Linked DNA regions of Caenorhabditis elegans. The protein of the gene in region 1 purifies or fractionates together with the protein of each later gene. This does not show direct contact. Each region holds a gene or a part of one and is shown on either strand. Other genes may lie near its edges. The genes, in order: nfu-1 and glrx-5.

Evidence for each region.
Region 2: the proteins of nfu-1 (region 1) and glrx-5 fractionate together in Caenorhabditis elegans (co-fractionation; one large-scale study listed by BioGRID). This does not show direct contact.

The regions. Positions count from the first base shown.
Region 1 is NC_003282.8:10,385,418-10,389,027, forward strand, and holds nfu-1 (NFU1 iron-sulfur cluster scaffold homolog, mitochondrial), read left to right. Parts: upstream 1-1,995; 5' UTR 1,996-1,999; coding exon 2,000-2,051; intron 2,052-2,094; coding exon 2,095-2,157; intron 2,158-2,203; coding exon 2,204-2,282; intron 2,283-2,346; coding exon 2,347-2,836; 3' UTR 2,837-2,934; downstream 2,935-3,610. Other genes in the region: Ankyrin repeat and KH domain-containing protein mask-1, read left to right, coding at 40-558, 610-786, 855-1,183, 1,229-1,325; R10H10.3 (CUB domain-containing protein), read left to right, coding at 3,103-3,180, 3,564-3,610.
Region 2 is NC_003281.10:12,371,942-12,375,695, reverse strand, and holds glrx-5 (Glutaredoxin-related protein 5, mitochondrial), read left to right. Parts: upstream 1-1,838; 5' UTR 1,839-1,854; coding exon 1,855-2,058; intron 2,059-2,834; coding exon 2,835-3,059; 3' UTR 3,060-3,114; downstream 3,115-3,754. Other genes in the region: pph-4.2 (Serine/threonine-protein phosphatase 4 catalytic subunit 2), read left to right, coding at 1-116, 1,072-1,210; rpt-6 (26S proteasome regulatory subunit 8), read right to left, coding at 3,239-3,589.

The DNA.
Region 1 (3,610 bases):
GCATTGAAAACAAATTTCTAAATTTTTATCTTATTTCAGAATGAATGGGGACAAAACGAGTTCATATCGCAGCTTCTTATTAACTCATCACTTCCTAATGCTACTTCGAGTCCACAAGGTGCTTCAACCATATCATCAGCACCAGTGCAGCAGCCATCTACGTCTTCTGTTACTACTGGATTATCTTCTTTGGAACTGAAAGGTTGGATGCCAGCCTCATTTGCACCGTCTGCTCGTGATCCGAATAGATCTCAACCACCCCTGTTTGCAAGATCTCAATCGAATTCTGTTGCTAATAGCACTTCCACGAATATTCAACAGCAACAACAACAGCAAATTCAACACCTTCAACAGCAGCAAGCACTACAACAACAACAGCAAAGGATTCAGCAATTCCAGCAACAATACCAACAGCATCAGTCTCAAAGTTCTCAGCAACCAAGTGACTTGATGTCTTCAAAGTTTTCAATGCTACAATCACAACAACAGCAGCAGCAACTTTACAATCAGATGCAGTCGCTAGGTCAAGATGGACAGGGATCCAATCTGTATAACCATGTAGGGATCCGTGATTTATGTCTGAAAATACGTTATTTGATTTATTTGCAGCTTGCCGCCCAATTATTGACTCATCAAGAGAGTTCTACAGGAGCACCTGGTCCAACAAGTAGTCAACTTGCAAATAGCTACTATCCATCACCTTCGTATACGGATGCCAGTGTTTTAGGGCAAATTAGCATGCCGTCATTGTCACAGAGAGGAATAAAGCAATTTGATGGATTTAATGTAAGTTTAGGACAAATTTGATGTTAAGATAGCAGGATCAGTTTAAAAATTAATGAATGGAAATTTAGAATGACTCTGATGGCGTTATTGCTGCTATTCTCGAGCAACAACAACAACAGAAGAAACAAGGACTCGCACAACAATCGTTCATGCATAACTCTCAACAGCCACAGCCGTTCGGAGCTCCCAGCAACGCTTCTGCAAATCAATCGCGACTCGGAATGATCCAACCTCGGCCCCAACCGCCACCATTTGTTGCTCCACAAGCTCCACCTGGATTCTCTTCTCTTGGAAATGCATCTTCCACGACGAACCCATCTCGAACTTCTATGCAGCAAATGTATCAGCAATACGGACAGAGTTCACAGCAACAGCCTTACGGTCAGATGCCTCAAGCGTAAGTTCTACGATTTCTAATTAAATATTTGTTTATTTATTACAGAATGGATTGGAACCGACTTGGACAGCAACAGCAGTCTGCATCTGGCCAACAAAATCATCAGTCATCCTCGTCAAATAAATGGTCTTCCAACTGGTAGATATCGCTCACAAAATCGTCTTCTTGTCAATTAGTCCCCCCTCCCCTCATAATAATTCGGTGTTTACTTGTTTTTTATTCAACCGTGAAACAATATGTCTTCCCGGTTGAATTGCATCCATTTTTCTTTATTTCGTCTCCTCGTTCCGGGTTTTGTAACACTTTTTCTTCATTTTAAATCTAGCCTTTTTTGGTCCATTTTTTCTTTCAACTCTCAAATGTTCGATCTTTCCCATCCCTAGCAAGTGTTTTCTTGCGAGCTCAGCCTTGTGGAAATTGTACTCTTCTGTCCAAATTATTCCCGTTTACCCATTTTTTGTTCTTTTTATATCTCCCCCGACATACTACTTCTTTTTTTTCGGTTATTTTTCAAGTCTTCCAACACAACACATATGTATTTGAGACGGATGTCAAATGGTCCCAACTTTTTCTTCCCTTTATTGAAAAGTGTGTCTTATTTTTCACTTTTGATGTTTTACTCGTTGTTTCATATGAAACCTGGGCATTTATTTCATTGCTAATTAATTATGACTTTCTTCGCTTTATGTTGATCCATGAATCGTGATTCTTGAAAGTATACAGGTTAGGCTATTGAAATGTACAACTCGAGGTTTTGATTCCTATATCTTGAGAATTAAGTCGGTAGATGTTGAAAGAACAAAAATTTTCAGAAAAATGATTTCATCAAAAATGCTCACAAGACTGAACCGGAGCTTTGTACAAGCAGGTGATACTGGTTCCAGAAATTCTTTCATTTTTTAAAATTTCAGCTCGATCAATGTATATTCAAGTTCAGGAGACACCTAATCCACTTTCTTTAAAATTTTTACCTGGTTAGTGGAAACTTCACTGTTTAAAATCTGAAATGTAGTATTTCAGGTCAACAGCTTCTCCCAGACGCCTCGAAAACATACGATTTCAGCTCAGCGGCTACAGCAAAACAAAGTCCACTTGCTATGTAAGGAATATTCCAAATTTTAACTACCATTCAGATAAAATAGTATTTATTTGTAAATTTTCAGAAAACTTCTTCGAGTCGACGGAGTGAAGCGTGTGTTCTTCGGAGAAGATTTTGTAACTGTCACGAAATCAGATGAGACTGTTGACTGGGCTCTCCTCCGTCCGGAAATCTTCTCAACAATTGCTGATCACATTCAAACCGGAAAACCTGTCATAAATGAAGCTGCAACTGTTTCCGACCAAGTGGAAGAAGATGATGAAGTTGTAATGATGATCAAAGAAATTCTAGAGACACGTATCAGACCAATGGTACAAGAAGATGGTGGAGATATCACTTATGTTGGTTTTGACGATGGTGTTGTCAAATTGAAGATGCAAGGTTCATGCACAGGATGTCCAAGCTCTGGAGTCACTTTAAAAAATGGAATTGAGAATATGCTCACATTCTACGTGCCTGAAGTGAAGGAAGTTATCGAAGTTAAGGATGAATCCGATGATCTTGTGGAACAAGAGTTGAAGAAATTTGAGCAATCAAAAGGAATCAAAGACTAATTGATAATTGATTCGTGTATAACTAGATTTGTTTTTATTAGTGTTTGCTGCTAGAGATAAATGTTCAATGAATATTTATAAAAACTTTTTTATTACTTTGAAAGTCGTATTAGTAGAATTGGTTTATGACTCTGAAATCATCGAATCACGTCAAAGTTCAACGGCCCAGTCCAAATCAGTGATATCAGTTAAAAGACTTATCACCCGGAAAAGTGGAAAATTGTGCTTCGTAAATTGATAAGAAATCAGTCAGAGTGCTGCTCAAAATGTTGAAACAAATTCTTCTCGTCGCTATTATTTTAAATTTAGGAGTATCTGCGTATAAGAAGAAAAGCTTGATTCATGTTAGTTTTTTTTTCAAGTTTTTGAATTTTCAATGTTATCCAGACGCGGAATTTTGCTATTTTTGCGGCTGGTTCGGTTTCTGAACGACATCATTTTAATAAATGCGGAAGGTACGCGCCTTTAAAGTGAACTGTATATCCAAACTTTATTTGCTGCGGTCAATTCTTCATAGTTTTTCGAGAAAAATATGTTTTTTTATTTATTAAACAAACTACATTTTGAAATCAAAATACAAAAATCTTCAGAAAAACATGAGACAACAACTTTTGCATTTATCAAAATTTTATCGTGACGAGACCGGGTACTGTCGCTAAAGTTCGCGTCTGAGTAATTGTGTCTGTAAATTATAAATTTAGAATACTGTAGAATATAAATTTATCAGAATCATGACAAAGTGATCGTATCAAACGACGACTTTATTGGATGCCC
Region 2 (3,754 bases), on another chromosome or scaffold:
GAGAATAATGATTTCCTTCGAATCTGTCGAGCTCATCAGCTCGTTATGGAAGGATATAAACTTCATTTTCGCAAGCGGGTCGTCACAGTTTGGTCGGCGCCCAATTACTGCTATCGGTAGAATTTTTGTGAATTTTTGCTCCAAAAAATGCATTAAAATTGAATTTTACTGTCGAAACAGATAGATAAGAGCCTGCAGATTTGTACTACACGTGGACAACTGAGAACCCGATTTTTTACTGTTTTTTGACTATTTTTGTGAAAAAAAAGCGTTCAGAATGGTCTGAATCCGACAAAAAAGGATTTTTTCGAAACCGAAAACGCAAAAAAAAATGTTTTTTATCAAAATTGTACTTTTGTCATGATTTCGAGTAAAATTTTAAGGAAAAAAAGTGAAACAGGTTAATTTTCTAACAAATTTTGTGTTTTCGGTTTTTCGATTTTACAGAAAAGCGGCAAAAAATGTTTTTTTTTCAAATTTTCGATTTTCCTTGAAAAACATCGAAAAATGACACCAAAAAAACGGTCAGAAAATTTTCTTTTTTTTTAAATTTTTTATTTTCTGACCGGTTTTTGGTGTCATTTTTCGATGTTTTTCAAGGAAATTCGAAAAATTGAAAAAAAAAGTTTTTTGCCGATTTTCTGTAAAATCGAAACACCGAAAACACAAAATTTGTTAGAAAATAACCATAAAATTCGTTTTTTTTTTAAATTCTAATTTTGTTCAAATTGATGAGAAAAAACAAAAAAAAAAGCCACCTAAAAAGAAGAAAAATTTTCAAAATTTAATCTAATTTTAGAAAAATCTTTTTAAAAAAAGTCGAAATATCGGAAAATTAAAAACCCAAAATTTTTAGAATTTCAGAAAAAAGCTCGTTTTTCGATTTTATTAGTCGGAATCAACCCTGATTAACCATTTTCAATGTTAAAGACGAAAATAATTCGCAAAAATAGACCAAAACTTGTCCACGTGTAGTACAAAATCCTCCGTAAATCGACACCGCGCCGCAGGCTTGCAAACCCGAAACTGCGCCTTCCTATTTACAATTTAGAATAAACATCGAATTTTCAGATGCGGAAACGTGGCGGCAATCATGGAGGTCACCGAGGAAAATATCGACAGCGACCCCGTTTTTGAAGTTTTCGAAGCGGCAACAGTGGAGAATCGAGGAGAGCCGAAAAAGCAACCGATTGCTCAATATTTTCTATGATTTTTTTTTTGCGAAAAACCCACCCCCAATTTTACCCTCATTCTAGCACTTTTACTCGAAAATCTTATTTTTCAATTTCTCAAAGAAAAAAAATCTCATTCATTCTTGTGAATATTTCAATTACTATCCATTTTATCTAGGAATTCATATTTAATTATTTGATTATTTTATCATCATTTTTTGTAAATTCTCACCTCCTCCGGGTTCAAAATATTTCGGTTATTGTTTTCCCGCTCAAGTTCTCACCTCAATTTCTGGTATTTATTATAACACACGAGTGCTCTCCTTTCGAAGAAAAAATTTCTAATTTTAATTTTTTATTATTATTCCGATTTGTAAGAGTTTAAAAACTAATGCTTATTTTGAAATTTTAAATATTATCAATTTCTATTTAAAAAAATTGAACAATTGATTGCGAAATAGTGCCCTATGACGCCCGAAAAAAAATCATGTGGCCGATTTTATTTCGGTTTTTACTGAAAATTTATAGATTTTTTAAAATTATTTTTCCAATTTTTCAACAAAAATAATCAATTTTTTAGCCAAAATTTGAAAATATCTTTCGCGATTTTTTGGTGGTTTTTTGTAATTGCTTTCCTAAATTTTCCTCTAAAACCCCGATTTTCAGCCAAAAAAAACCAGCCATGTTGCGCGTACTATCACGTCAAGCGTTCTCAATGGTTCGAGCAGCCAACTTCTCGGCTTCAGCTTCATCAGCCGGTGGTGGCGGACTTAGCGATGAAGTTCGCAAACGAATCGACGGAATCGTGAAAAAAGATGATGTTGTCGTTTTTATGAAGGGAACACAACAGGAGCCAGCGTGTGGATTCTCGAGAAATGTTAAATTGGTACGGGAAAATGGAGATTTTGTGGAAAAAAGTGGAAAATTCAACAAAAAAAAATTGCAAAATAGGCAATTTTTCAAATTTGACTACTCTCCGACCAATCAGCGTCTTCGCGCTCCGCCCATACCGTCTGATTGGTTCAAAAGTGGGCCGAGCGAATCGCTAATTGGTTAGCATTTTTAGTGTAATTCTTGGGCTTAAAATCGCCTCAAAAGAACGATTTTCTTCAAATTTTTTGAAAAAAATTGCAAAATTCAGAAAAAAAATCAAAATAAATTTTACCAGTTTTTCCGTATCACAACGGCCAGCATTTGATTTTTATTCGATTCTTTTGGTAAAATTGGTAAAATTCGAGCTTAAAAGGCCGCTGTTTTAAAATTTTTTGAAAAATCTCATTATTTCGAGCTTTCCTAGCTTGAAGTCGACAAAAATTCGATGATAAATATTACAAAACCACAAAATGCCGAGAATGCGTACTGTGCAACACATTTGACGCGCAAAATATGGAATATCTCGTAGCGAAAACTACACAGTAATCCTTTAAATAAGACTACTGTAGCACTTGTGTCGATTTACCAGCTTTGATAGAGCCCGTAAATCGACACAAGCGCTACAGTAGTCATTTAAAGGATTACTGTAGTTTTCGCTGCGAGATATTTCATATGTTGCGCGTCAAATGTGTTGTGCAATACGTATTCTCAGAATTTAGTGCTACCGTAATAGTTTCGCTTTAAAAAAAAAAAGAAAAAATCCCAAAAAATCACATTTTCCCATTTCAGGTTCTCGACTTCCACAATGTAAAATTCCAAGACTACAACGTTCTGACCGATCAGGAGCTAAGAGAAGGTGTCAAGATTTTCAGCGAATGGCCAACAATTCCACAAGTCTATGTGAAGGGAGAGTTCGTCGGCGGATGTGATATTCTCATTTCAATGCACAAAGACGGAGAGATTTCCGACTTTTTAGACGAAAAGGGAATCTCGAATAAATATGGGAAGCAATGAATAATCCTGTTAGAAATTTAGACGTTTTTTTTTCGAATAAAGATTGCATTATTCAGCAAAAGAAGGAGAGCACGGGAGGTCAAAGACAATAAATAAATAGGGTCCATTTTTTACAATAAAATCAGTGAAAGGGGGGGGGGGGTAATCGATAAAAAAAGTCGAAATTTGCATTTTTATTTTTACTTCCACAACTTCTTGATGGACATATTCTTCTCCGAATCCTTCTGCATAACCTTTCCAACAGCCATCTCGAAATCCTCCTGCGTCACATGAATACGTCGCTCACGGAGCGCGAACATGCCAGCCTCGGTACACACCGACTTGACTTCGGCTCCCGATGCTCCGGGAATTTGCTCGGCGATCTTGGCCATGTTGATACCTCGCATCAAGTTCATCTTGCGCGAGTGAATCTTGAGGATATCGGCACGAGCCTTCTCATCTGGAGCCGGGAACTCAATCTTACGATCGATACGGCCGGGACGGAGAAGTGCGGGGTCGAGAATGTCGATACGATTGGTTGCCATGATGACCTGAACATTTATATATAGAAGCTTGGAATATTTATAGGTGGACTACGCTAAGTGGGATGACCGAATATTATGATTTAAAAAATTCAAAAAAATTTTCTAGATTTTATATGCTTTTTTGTTTTGAAAATTGAAAAAATCTCAGTTTTCCCCTAATTCCTATTTAAA